Astyanax mexicanus: one gene and its partner. The protein of the gene in region 2 purifies or fractionates together with the protein of the main gene of each other region. This does not show direct contact. Links are inferred from orthologs where the notes say so. Each region holds a gene or a part of one and is shown on either strand. Other genes may lie near its edges.

Evidence for each region. Proteins that work in one complex are often made in the same cells at the same time.
Region 1: the proteins of smarca1 (region 2) and pole3 purify together in Homo sapiens (affinity purification with mass spectrometry; 3 studies listed by BioGRID and IntAct, with this or other methods). This does not show direct contact. The link is inferred for Astyanax mexicanus from reciprocal best matches to the Homo sapiens genes SMARCA1 and POLE3.

What each region holds. Positions count from the first base shown.
Region 1 is NC_064408.1:17,396,933-17,404,395, reverse strand, and holds the start of pole3 (DNA polymerase epsilon subunit 3), read right to left. Parts: upstream 3,116-7,463; 5' UTR 2,657-3,115; coding exon 2,591-2,656; intron 1,620-2,590; coding exon 1,534-1,619; intron 1,439-1,533; coding exon 1,320-1,438; intron 672-1,319; coding exon 493-671; 3' UTR 1-492. UniProt on the Homo sapiens protein: Accessory component of the DNA polymerase epsilon complex. Participates in DNA repair and in chromosomal DNA replication.
Region 2 is NC_064408.1:35,518,046-35,525,364, forward strand, and holds the start of smarca1 (probable global transcription activator SNF2L1), read right to left. Parts: upstream 3,015-7,319; 5' UTR 2,912-3,014; coding exon 2,855-2,911; intron 351-2,854; coding exon 270-350; intron 156-269; coding exon 1-155. Other genes in the region: gab3 (GRB2-associated-binding protein 3), read left to right, coding at 6,201-6,284.

The DNA of each region.
Region 1 (7,463 bases), about 18 Mb from region 2:
AATCTGAAATGGACAGCTTTAAAGGCATATTAAAAGCTAATGGCCACCAATTAGCATTTTGCAATTTACACTATTCTACCTGGTGCATACTAGCTTCAAATGATTGTTAGGCAAGTTAGCAGAGCTTGGTCAATCTATACTCCCTAATTTTCTTTCCCCACTGCACATATTTGTGGCACTACAGTTAATATACACAGTGAATGTACTCTTGTTCAACTACAAGTAGAGCCAGTATCTCTGCAACACAGACTCTATTATTAGAACCAGTCAAAGAATGTAGGGAAGGGAATATAGCACAATACATCAGTGCCATGTTAGAATAGTGAACTCCTTTTGTTACCTTCAGATTTGTACAGATACACCTTTCTTTTTTAATTAGACCAAGCAAGTGCTGACAGCTGTTTCTTCTTCCTCTCCAATTTCATCTAGAACGTGGACATTACTATCAGGCTCCTTAGTCTGTTTAGGCTTGTTGCTAAATTGCTGTACCCCTTAATTTTCCACATCCTCCTCCTCGCCTTCGTTCTCTCCATCCTCCTCCTCCATGTGCTCTTCTTCCTCCTCCTCTTCCTCTCTGCTTTTGTCGTGCTCTTCTGTACCGTTTTTCTTCTCCTTGTCTTTCTTCTTCTGTTCTGATGCCTCTTTTTTGCCTTTCTGTCCTTTCTTGTAGGCTGATAAACAAAACAGGCAAAAATAAGCCTAGAACTAGTAATAGTACACCCTTAAAAATAAATGTGCTAAAAAAGTCAGAATTAGCAGTTTTAGTAAGATTAAACAACAACAAAAAATACATATAAATATAATTCACTTATCAGATGACTGGAGAAGACTGTCACTACAGACTGTTTGTTCATGACACACAATTTATCAATGGCTGCTTTTAAAATTCTAAGAGCAAATATTTAAATCCTGCAACTACATGTCAGGGTTCTTTTTCAACACCATATCTATACACTGTATACAACTATGTGAGACCCCAACTAAAAAAACATATGAAATGTCTCATCAGTTACAGGCCTTTTGTGAAAATTGTGTTATCAAGGTATCATTTAATATATGGAGGTCACTTTTGCTGACCTCAGTATTACCCACTGTGTTTACTTGCATCTTTTTTGCATAAGAACAAACAGCACTTTTTAAAGCTAGTTGTCTAATGGCCAACGGATCAATAAAAAAGGTAAAGATGAACTACTCAGGGTTAACTGCTGTTTATGTTTTTTTTTTTTTATATTGTTTAACAATATGCAGCACAACGTCTGACAGGCTTTACAAAGTGCCACAGCAAACAAAAATGTATTGTGAGAGTCCTAATCAGTTACCTTCAAGAGCGTCTCGCAGGGGTGGCAAGAAACGTTCAAATTCCATCTCCTCCATAGCCGACATCACATCTCCGGCATTGAGCGTCTTCCTTTTGGCTTTCATAGCGAAACTATTGGCACTGGAAATAAAATATATTTTTAAAAATTGATTAGTCACACACTTACTGTTGTATTTGGCGAGATAAAAGTTCTGTTCTGTGGTCTTCAGACATACCATGATGTTGCATAGAGAACAAACACACTGGCTGCTTGAGATATTGCCCTTCTTGCTTCTTTGGACACGTTTACACCATCTGGCAACTTACAAAAGCAACACAAAAGGAAAATTACATTTCACACAGTTGTTCTGGTCTACCGCAACTGAAGCTGATGAGACTCACAGCCAAAGTGTATATTTACAATACATACACTGCTGTGTTATTAAATAATGAGAATAAAATTCATGTAAATGTGAGGGAAATTTTTCATGTAAACGGTCATATTTTACATTAGTACAAAAACAGTTTGGTTTATTAAATAAAATGCTGGAAACCAAAATGGATATTATGGTATGCTCCTAGTGCTGTGCGATAAAACGATTGATAGAAATGTAAGCCACAGATGATAAAATTTTGATATAACTTGTTCTGTGAATATTTAACAGAGAATTGAAACACCCACTTTGTTATTCTGTAACATCTGATCTTTGAATTTACAGGATTTGAGTGTTTTATTTTTATTTATATAGTTGTATAACGTTCTAATGTTCATTTGTTAATTACTGACTAAATATTTTTTTAACTAAAATTACTTACGAGTAAAAGGAAACCTTTAAGTGTGACAGAAAGTGATTTGATTTATATCGTGATTTTGACTGATAAGGAAAACTATATCATGACGATGTTTTTTTCCCCCCATATCGCCCAGCCCTATATGCTCCTATGGCTACAGGCATATTTACATTTACATATACATAGAGGTAAATGTACAGTACCAGTCAAAAGGTTGGATACACCATCTCATTCAATTGTTTTTGTTTATCTAGTTTATTCATTTTTACATGGTATATTAATATTAAAGTTAAGGTTAAGAGTCTGTCAGTAAGCAAGTAACAGTGGGCAACCTAACAGGTGGCAGTAGCATCAGTTAAATTAGCATATATAGAGTTAAACTGCAAATAAACCCTTACTTATATCAGAAATTAGACTTAGAGGTTAACTAGATAAAAATGTTTAATCTAAGCACAGCAGTGTGTAGGAAGGTAGGTATGTAGTTTAGGTAAGTTTACTCACAGCCTCTTTGATAATGCGGGTGATCACAGCATTGGGAAGGTTTAGGTCCTCCGGTCTCTCAGCCATGCTCACTCACTCACACACAGCTAGTCCAGTGAGTAAGCTAGGCTAACGAGTGATTTAATAAATTAACTAAACTTAAACAGCTTTAATAGACCAAAACTCTGCCTGAGGAAGAGTGGAGACACTTCCAAACTCTGCTAAACATATACAATAATACAGTCCCGCTCAATAAAGAGCAGAACAGACTATCAGTCCGCCAAAACTACCGACTAACTGACGCTAGCTCAGCTAACCACCTGTGACTGCAGTGTGATAGAAAACAGCCCAGTTAGGCTAAGCTAACTCGATAAAACGCCCGCAAACTATCAGTTAACGGCCATACCCGCTCAGTACACTAATATATATATAATAATAACAGCAGCGGGTTATTTAAGTAAATAACCGGTAGCTCTTCTCGGACTGAGGTGAAAGAAACTCGCCGCTCTGAGCCGCTGAATCCCGCTTATCATCCAAAAACCCCCGCCTCACCGCAGGGTTGCCAGGTCCAACCAAACCATCCAGCCCAAAGTCAGTCTTAAAAGCTGCCCTTCAGAAGATTAAACTAATCCAAAATATAGGTTTGTCACACGTTTTAAGCATGTAGTAGGGGTTGGCAATATTATATCGTATACAATATATCGTGACACAGAAATATCGTGATATTAAAAATCCATATCGTGGTAATAGGGCTGTTCTGTTTTAAAAGTAGCCTATTATTTACTGTGAAGCTTTAAGTGTATTTATTGTGTAATTGTTTTAGTTTCTAGTTTATATGCATGCACTAAATATTCTGCAATATTATTTGCTGCATTATATTATTTTATGCTACATTATTTATTTTTGCCACATTATGATTATTCTGTTATACTGTTATACTATATTCCTGAAATTAATTAATTATTTTAGTTTTCCTCTATCGCCAGGTATATCGTTATCGCAAAAATACTCTGAAATATCGTGATATTATTTTAGAGCCATATCGCCCACCCCTAGCATGGAGTGGACGACTTAGTATTTTGTTTATAAGGAATTAGTGTTTTATTAGTTATTTTTTTTAACCGTTTTATATCCCAGTCAAGAACATTTAATTGTTACATAATTAGCAAAAAAAAAAAACTTTTACTTACTCATTTCTGTTCTTGTCCCTCCTGAGCTCTCTTTTCTCCTCTTTAACATTTTTTTCATCGCCTTGTGATTTCTGATTACATTGTATATTTAGTTACATTGATTTATTTGTCATTATGCATGGGAGGTAAATCCTGCCAAAAATAAAACTTAAATGAAAAGACTAAAATGAAAATGCAAATACAGTTTTGCACTTTCTTTTTCCAAACATGTGTGAAAATATTATAACAAAATTAAAAACAAAATTTAATCAATTCATTTGTAATTTAATTTTTTCTCTTGAGCATGGGTCATAAGTGACAAAAATAAAAAATTAAATTGAAAAGGCTTTTTGCCATTTATTTTATTAGCATACGAGTATTTCACAAAATAAAAAAATAAACCTAAAATAAAAAAGGTAATTGTGAAAAGAAAAAATTAAGCTTTATTTTGGCCTTGCCTTTTCGTGATGAACTGCATAATAAATGTCAAAAATAAAATCTAAATGCAATAGTAATGTTTTTAATTATAAGTCTTTGCAATGGGTTAGTTCCCATAGTTATATTCTCCTGGTTTTTATTGTTGTAATCCAAGGAAGATTTTTACTCGCGACTGGATTTTCAAAAAAGCCCAATTTGGCGGGAAACCTGCGAACCTGGCAACTCTGGCCTCACCCTTCACCCTTCACCCGCTCACACACAGCGCTGCTCCCGCAGCAGCCAATAGCAGAGCGGGCAGCCAGTCTATTATAATACACGGTTTTATTTTATACAGTTACTGTCGGAGCTGCTGATGTGTTTATTTTATTCACCCATTTATCTTTCTAGGCCCTCAATATTTATCCTTTTCTGTTTTCTAGCTCATTTTATTTATAAATAACATTTCTGCAGACAGCCTGTCCATACTGCGCATGCGCGTAACGCTTTAGTACGTTATACTAATTTTAATTCTGTAAAGTTATCAAGTAGCTACATTACACAAAAAGGTAAACCCTTTTAAATCTATTTCTTGTTGAATTTGATTTGTTTATTGATTCTCTTAACTGCCTAACTAAGAACATGAGGGAGTTAGATTTGCTGATGAATGACATATAAAGAATATAAATATAAATGTTTTGTTTAGCTCGTAAAACTTTTTGGTTGTATGATTAAATGATCTTGGATGTCCTTGTTTGTTTTTTAATGTTTTTGAAAAAAAAAAAAAATCTTAAAAAACGTTACTTTACTTTATCTTCTTAAAAGGGGTATAAGCTGTCAAAGTACTTTGATATTAAAAGTATTTTTGGATTAGAGATTTAGGCTGTCCATATTCACATTACGAAGCTGTTTATTGCATTTATTTATTTATTTATTTATTATTTTTAAGAGATATGCTGTGGCGATTGTGTCCCTTCAAATATTAAAACAACAATTTTGCAATATATTATCAGTGGGATATTATAAGACATCATAAAAATATCACTCCGTAATTGTGACACTATACATTTTATATTATTACAGTAAAACAACATTTTCAAATTTAGCCTGCCATAATTATATATAGCTATAAAAAAATATGATATGTTATAAGGAGATATTTATCCCATAATTGCAGATTGCTTATTTCTAAATTATGGCACATCATTTGTTGTTATCATTTCATATTATCTCATAATTGCAATATTTCCACATAATAAAAAAAAAATGCATAATTCTTCATAATAATTCTTATGATATAATACCCCATAATGGGATATGTCCTCAGAATTTCAAATATGTCCTTTTGTTTTCAAAGACGAAGCTCATAATGAGATACATTTTTGTAATTTTGAGATATTCTATGTCATGATTATGGCATGTCATTTTTTATTTTATAATAAGTTACTTTTTGGCATTTCAAAAATGTTCTTTGACATAAATAAAACATGTCATTTTATTTTAATATAAAAAAGTAGCTCATAAAGAGATACTTAATCTTAATTTCAGGATGTTCTGTCAGGATTGTGTAATGTCTTTTTTTATTTTATAATAAGGTAAGGTAATTTAAAAAATGTCCTTTGACATAATTATACAAAAATATCTCATAATATGATACATTCTTAGAATTAATTTATAATAATATTTCATGTCATAAACATGAAGTGTATATAGTAAGGATGTGAAGTTTGTATTGTTATTTTGATTGACAGTAATACATCTCTATAGAATCAGAATGCTTTATCCTATTTGAAAGTTATTATTCTGTACAATAGATGTTATCATTTGATAGTAACACAGATCAACATCGGCCTTTGAACTTGCTCCAAAACAAGCATTCCATTTCAGAGAATGTTCCATGATCATTATTGAGGCATCAGTGATGAAGTATGAAGCTATTATGAAATGTTTCTGCTGACCTCAGTAGTAATCTGCAGTGTTTCTTTTAGACTTCAGTTTCTCACACTTTGAGCTGCTTGCGTTTTAGAGCTGCCAAACGGTTTGTTTATCTCAAACTCAGATCGTGTGAAAAGTCCCTGAAAATGTGTTTTCTGTGATTTGTTCTTAAAGGAAAAGCTGTAGGGTGGTTGTTTTAGTATTGGCAAGGCGTGTTGGGTATATGCGATGGTCACGTAGCATTTTAATTCATGTATGCAAAGGTCAGTGAGGAATTCCAGCCATGGCTAATTTAACGTGAGGAATGATCCTTTAAGATTGAGCTGTGGGATAGATCTAGACTTTCTCCAGTGTATGTGTTTGTGTCATATGTATGTGTGGATGCTGTGAAAAAGATTGTATTACATTCCATCAAACAGAAAATGCTTTATCATGGTCTAATGTACTTCATTTTTAATAACATGCCAAAAGATGGTGTAGAAGAATGCAAATTAATCATAAAATCTTAGGAGGAGTGGGATAGCCCTTACTTGTGTAAGTTGTGAGGTGCTATCTTGAGGTAAGTGTGGTTGAACAGTGGTCAGCATGCTCATAGCAAGGCAATGTTTATGATCAGAGTTGGAGTGAGGTCTGATAGTGGGTGCCAGGTGGAAGACAGGACATTCCATTTCTTAGATTGTGCAGATATTGTGCAGTCATTTGTAAACTGGAAATACCTCATAGAAGGCATTACCACCCACAGTGTACAGGATTCTGAGTAAAATTGTCCATATGAACAGACAGTTAGGGCAGTGGTGGCTCAGTGGTTAGAGCACTGGGTTGTGGGTTCAATACACGCCTTTAACCCTCACTGCTCCCTGAGTGCCGAAAGCACCAGCTGCCCACTGTTCTGGGCACGTGTTCTCACAAAAATGTGTGTTTTCACTGAATGTATGGGTTAAAGGCGGAGGCTAAGTCACATAAACATTTAATGCAGAGAGTCAGTGCAGTATTTTTAGCTTCCAAAAGACATGCCAAAAGTCATGGGATACAAATTTCTGTAAATTACTTTTGGTATGTCAGTGTATTTTATTACAATTTCTATTTTAAACAGTTACAATTTTTGAGCCTGTAATGAATCTAAAAACTAAACTAATCATTTTAGATTAATTGCTTTTATTCATTCTAGTGAATGTCATACCATAAAGTATGTCCAAATGTTTGTGGACATCCCTTCTAATAAATGCTGCATTGATTGAAAGTTGCATTCACTGCTGAAACACACAGTAGGGCTGCACAATATTAGAAAAAAATTACATTGCAAATGTTATTTTTTTAACAGTATACTGTATATGGTGATATTAAACAATGCAGGGCCCATCACCCCCCCACCCGCG
Region 2 (7,319 bases):
AGCAGGTTCTGTTTCTCATCCTGTTTGGTGCGGGGTCTCCCCATCCGCACCTTCAGGGGCGATGTGGGGGATTTCTGACTCGCTGGCTGGACGAAGTGAGCAAAGAGTTCAGTCTGTTTCAGCAGGAACTCAAACCTGTTAGCCCTGTCTGCTTTCTACAGAGAAAGAGAGAGAGAGAAACAGAGAAGGAGATAAGGTAAAGTGTTTTCATTCACACAGAATTGACAGTGATTCCTAGCAGTATTATAACACTCGTAATTAACACTCACTCTTTTTTCTTCATATTCAGGGTCCACTGTGCCTTCTTTTATTGCTGCTTTTGGAGGGGGGCCCAGCAGGAACGGAGGATCCTTCACACATACACAAACACAAGTCACATAAACCGTCCAATTTTATACAGGACCAGACCAAGGACATGCCACTGCTCATTTAATGTTTTTTTTCTTTTATTTATACAGACAGAAGTTTTCCTGCTGTGCTTTAGGCATGTAGCACCTCCACCGGTGTCTTGTTTACTAACTGCAGGGTCATCAGCTGGGGACCACCGCTCATAGATGTTTTGCTCCTTAACCCAGAACACCTCCTGGTGGTGGCGCAGTGAACAGGGACGTTTTATTATTTTCTACATTGTAGATTAATAGTGAAGACGTTAAAACTATGAAGAAACTCATATGAAATTATAAAATAAAGTGTGTTAAACAGGCCAAAATATGTTTTTTTCTTCAGTGTAACATCTTTTGCTTTGATGCCAACTTTGCTTACTCATTATTCTCTCATTCACTTCATTAAGGTAGAACTAGGAATGGTTATTAAACTGTCTTAAAATAATAATAGTAATAATAATAATAATAATAATAATAACAATAATAATAATAATCATTATTATTATTATTGCTCTCATAGTAGTACAGTACTAAAAGCAAAACTAATACTATGCAACATTGTGATTTTTTCACTGCCCATGCCATAGAAAATTGTCATCTTAAACTAATAATGAGACCGGATGCAAGTGCAGGCAGAGCTTATACCACACACAATCCAAAAGACAGATAAGGGTCAAATCACGGGCAAACAGGGTTATCAGAGGACGATGTTGAGACGTAGTAAAAAATCAAAGCTTAAGGTCAGAATACCAGATACAGAATAGACATAAAACACTCAGAGCTAAGAGTTCAAATAAAATACTCTTAACTGGGGCTCCTTTATAGAGCCTGTTAATAGAGTTCAGTTGAGCAGGGTGGGGTCGATGATCAAAACTCAGGTGACGCCAAGCGCTGTTAGGGTGGAGAGGGTGGACTAATACTGTTCAAGTGAAAAATTATTATTACTATTATTATTACTAATATTCTCAATATTTATAGTAGTACAATGGTATTAGAAACATTAATATTATGCAATATTGTGGTAATTTTACTGTTTGTGCAGTAGAAAATATTGTAATACTAATACAAGCGTATGTTTTATAAACATACTACTGCTACTAATACTACCAATACTACTACTAATATTTTTTGGATTGATTTATTTGTACACTTCACTTTAAAGCAAGGTTTTCCCAATACATTTAGAGTATTCCCCCAGTAAAACATTTCTCTGGAAAATCCCTTTAAAATGACAAGAATAGACTAATAAAATAAATGAAATGTGTCCAGAAAGAACCATAAAACAGATTATACAGCTCTAAAAAAAATTAAGAGACCACTTCAGTTTCTGAATCCGTTGTTCTATTATAAAAACTACGGACAACATTTCTCCCAAATGCCAAATAAATTATTGTTATTTACAGCATTTATTTGAAGAAAATGAGAAATGGCTGAAATAACAACAGCGAAGCAGAGCTTTCAGACCTCAAATAATGCAAAGAAAACAAGTTCATATTCATAGAGTTCAGAAATCAATATTTGGTGGAATAACCCTGTTTTTAATAACAGTTTTCATGCATCTTGGCATGTTCTCCTCCACAAGTCTTACACACTGCTTTTGGATAACTTTATGCTACTCCTGGTGCAAAAATTCAAGCAGTTCAGCTTAGTTTAATGGCTTGTGATCATCTATCTTCCTCTTGATTATATTCCAGATGTTTGAAGTTTGGTCAAATCAAGAAACTCATAATTTTTAAATGGTCTCTTATTTTTTTCCAGAGCTGCATTTTTTAAAAAAATGTACAGTTATAATATAACGTTACACCTTTAAATCCCAGAATTACTACAGGCAACTTTTGATATAATATATAATCATGAATAATGATATAAGTAGTGGAGCATATAGCTAACGTTATATATCATTTTTATTGATTACTGTAATTACAGTGTTACTCATGTGGAAATTAGGTGTCAGGTTTAAATTCAGCTAATTAAAGTACCAATATCAGACTGACCTCCTGAAAGAAACCAGAATCACACAAACTAAATTACCAAGAACGAAGGAGCTATTTAATGTGATAAATCTGGGCCTGGGAGTCTCACCCAGCAGCAGCACGACAGACAGAGACAGAGTTAGGAAAGCTGGAGACAGATGTTGTTATATAAATCTGCGTGTTTTGGTTTAGTTTATAGTTTGTGTTGGGAAATGTTTAATTGGTGTATTTCAGCGCTGAGTCTCCAGCGAAATTCGCCATTTCTGTGCTGTAGAAAACTTGTGCTTGCTGTGGAGGCTGAAGTTGGCTCCATATTGGCATGTTCCGTTCCACCTTAAAAACTACTGTACTGGGCCAGCGCGCTCAGAACAGGCGCCAAAGCCTAACCGCCGCCCAGTTTAAGGTGGAGCGGAAAATTCGAATATGGAGCTGGAGAAAAATAACACAACTTCAGCTCTGTGACTTCTTGTTGTTTCTGCGGTTAAATGTCCGATTTACCTTCTCCTTCCCGGGCCCGGGCTCCCCAGAGGTTGACGGCACCTCTTCATCAGACATGTTTAGCCTCTCATGAGCCGCTCAGCGAGTTTCACACAGAAAAACACAGCTCGCAGCCGCAGCTTCAGACATGGCAGGCATACGCCCCCTTCAGCGGGAAATATCGCGATGGTAGAGCCCCGAAGTACCGCGAGATTTTGAAATGCATTGATGTAAACAAACCCTCAAGTCTGATTTACTCTCGTTAACCCCTTAACATGCCGGCGTTTTTGTCAAATTTCTGCCTGATATTACACAGCTATATCTTCACTCTTAAACGTGATTTTGTGTTTTAGTCAGGAGAAGAAATATAATCCAGTTAAGTGAACTTACCGGCCAGGACAACTCAATAAAATGAGTTCAGAGAACTTCAATCTGAAAACTTAAAAATGTTTGTTGAGCCAATGAACAAACGTGATTTCAACCAACTTCTGGTATACTATACGTGTCAATGCTCTTTTATCAGCGTTTATATATGTTTAGGAAAGGGACAAGGTTTGCTGCCTCTGATTAGCCATAGGCTCATGAAAATTCATGAGCTATAAAATGAAGTATATTCTGAGAAGTGTTTTTGATAAAGGTGATTTACAGGGGAAAAAAACAATAAAATAATTTTGACTAGTGGAACAAAACATGTTAAAAACGGCTTTTTACCCAATTGTTTCACAGTCAGTGACATAGAATGCAGTCTGGAGTAGTGAAAAGGAAATGTGGGGAAACCTCCACAAAATATTACATACTACAATGAAGTCTGTAGGGATTTTATCCACAAAAAAGAGCCGATAAACACAAATTGCAATGTTGATCAAAGTAAAAATGCATACCACAAAATATTTAAATATGTACATGGAGTTTTTTCCCTAACATATGAACCTAAGCCCCACTGAGAGAAAAAAGTGATGAAAAGTAATATAATTTCCAAAGAAATCTCAAGAAACATCCAGGATTTGATGTGGTTTATTACTGTAGGACACGGGGTAACCAAACATTTCTTAATTAAAAGGAATATATATAAATGTGGACACAAGTGGACCATATATAAATAATAATAATAATAATAATAATAATAATAATAATAATTATAATAATAATAACCAACTTATAATAGCTGAGTTTAGTCTAATGTCATTGGCAGCTTATTTTCCATTGGCCTCTGTCACAATCTATTTGCATACTTGGTATAAATGATAACTTGACTGAGTTAAGTTGAATGAACTTAACATGTTATGTATTTACAACTTAACTGAGCCAAAGCAAAATGATAACTTTTGAAGTTAAGCCAATGAATTTTTTTTAGCAGTATTAAGGATTTCCCTTTGAGCATTACATATAAAATTTTCATGTTTGATAAAAAACATTATTAAAAATATTAGCTGTAAAAGTAATTGAAAAGATTTTAAATTATTTGTCAAGTGAATATAAGAATTATGAATGAAAATCACAAAATTGGCACCTTCCTGAACTTTTAACATTTTTAAATAAATATTTCCCTAAATATGAATTAATCATTTCATGTCCTCCAAACATTTCATTTTGTTACAATTGTCTTCTTTTTATGTCTATTTCAAACATGCAGAATTTGGGGTTGATTCCTCTCAAAACTGATATTATTATTATAAATAATTATAATTATTATCTTAATCATTATAAATTATCAAGAGTACAGAGTGAACATGCAGCTTCTCCAAGTGGTCTGTGGGAGAATCCCTACAAAGCTCACAAAGTTTTAGAATATAAATAACTCATTTTACTGCAGAAATAAAGGGTTTTGTATCTACACTTGTATATTACCAGCTTTTTTTCTTTACATTAAGAACTAGGTAAGACTCAAATTAATTTAGAGACTAAACTATTACAAAGTACAAATGAGATGTTGTTTTGCAATATTTAAATAATTGAACAGATAACTTCATTATCACAGTTTGAATGTATTCCTCTGTTTTACCTTTTTATTACTGTGTTGTAAATAGCTTTGGCGACTAGAGGGCGACAAAACCAGCTAATTCTCGAGTTTGAATGCTTATTGTTATTTCTAAACTGTCACTGGCTTTAAATGAGCTAGTGGGGGTATTTAATTTATTTTTCGATGTAATTAACATTTGTTAAAGACTTTCAAATTATTATTATTATTATTATTATTATTATTATTATTATTATTATTATTATTATTATATATATTTTTAGTAGTAGTAGTAGCATTGGTTGTATTACTTGTAGTAATGGTAGTTGTATATTTATTGGTATATTTTATCATTAGTGTAGTAGTCTAGTTGAATGTAATTATTCATACTAATAGTAGCTCTAGTACTAGTAGTAAGAGTAATAGTGTAATAATAATATGATTATTCTTAACATAAGCTGCAGTAGTAAAATAGTCGCAATAGAAGTGCTAGGGGTATAGCACTATTTAATGCTTAATGGTTGTAGCAATAATGGTAGTACTATTACACTAGTAGTAGTAGTAGAATAGTATTTTTAAAACGAGTACTAGTACAATTGTATTATTATTATTATTATTAGTAGTAGTAGTAGTAGTATTAGTAGTAGTAGTAGTAGTAGTTACAGTAGTAGTAGTATAATAGTATTTTACAACTATTATTATTAGTAGTACTAGTACAATTGTACTATTATTATTATTATTATTATTAGTAGTAGTAGTAGTAGTAGAATAGTATTAGTAGTAGAAGTATTAATACAATTGTTACTTATGGTAGTAGCACTACACTAGCTGTAGTAGTAATAGTAGTATGACATATGTCATATAAAGCACAGTTCCCATCTCCTTCTCTGAGTAACAGATGGCCCAGTAAACCATTAAAAGTGGCTTCGCAGCATTTTCCAGACAGACACACACATATACACTCACACACACACACAGGGTCATGTGCTACTGTGTCACACTAATAGGAGGGTCATCTCTTCCCAACCAACCACCCACCCACACACACATACACACACACAAAGAAGGAAAAAAGAACATACACACACACTCAACACTGCATGCAAATACGTACATGTCCTCTCTATCTCTCTTTCCAATTCATTTACAAGAAAGCTTAGAAAAACACACACACACACTCTCTCCCACTCCTCTGGCTCTTCTGGAGAACTATATCTATCTTTCTTTGCCTCATCCCTTTCCCCTCCCCTCTCTCTCTCTCTCTCTCTCTCTCTCTCTCTCTGATCAGTGCTAGCTAGTTAGTTCCTCATCTAGACGCTGGAGGCTTCACACAGGATTTGCTCTGTGTTCAGTCTACACACACACACACACACACACACACACACAGAGAGAACACATACACAGAGACACATGGACACAGACATGAGCTCAGGGGACGTGGTGTGTACCGGATGGCTCGTCAAATCCCCGCCAGAGAAAAAGCTCAAGAGATACGTGAGTAAAAAAACTGTTGTGTTTAGTGTGTGTGTGTGTGTGTGTGTGTGTATGTGTGTGTGTGGTATGTGGGTGTTCCTGTAGATACATTCACTGTGTTAAGACAGATAAAGGCTTAATACCAACCACGCCGATGCATCACTCACTGACACGCTGAAGAAAAACCCTGTGCCCTGGTACCCTGAGTTTACTGGGTTTAGTGTGTGTATGGGTGTGCGCGTGCGTGCGCGCGCGAGTATGAGGCTAGCAGGTGCTGCAGTGCTGTATCAAACCATCATCAGCAGCTCACTGGCCTCTAAAAACACACCCGTCATGCCTTGCTTTTGATAGTTCAACTGTGTATGTGTGTGTGTTTGTGAATTCTGGATGCCCTAAAACTGTAACTAGCTAATTTATGTATTAATTATACTAATCAGTACTGACAAGCCTTCATTTATCCTATATTCAGTTCATCACATCACAGTCTCACACCACCTAAATCATTGTTGCCCTGCTGTGTTGTGGGTAAACATGTGCCTTAACCCTCTATGGCATAGTGTTGCCCTCAGACAACAAATCCAAATGGTTGGGTATTACCCCATACCTTAATTATATTTAAAAATATATAATGTTAAAAGGCATATCTACTTCAAATGCAATGAGTTGTACAATTGGTTCATAAATACAAATATGTATATGTGCAAGAATGTGTAAAAACATTTGGCTTCTTATATTCTTATTATATTTACTTACTAAAACAGTGTTTTTTTCATCTGTTGTCTTTGGGCAACATTATGCAGGTAGACCACTCCTAAAACATCTGATTAAAATAATCAGTTTCTTATCAAAAAAAAAAAATAGATTTGATAGAGGGACTAAAATGGTACTCCCATTTTAGTATGGATGTAGTCAGTTTTCCAAAACATGTGTGGTTTCTTTTTCCCTGAGGCTAATCCTGCTAACAAGTAATGGAAGATTCTCTGATTATACCCCACCAATTAGCTTTGTGCTAACTATAGCTACATGCCTAAAAAATCACACACTCTACTACCTAGA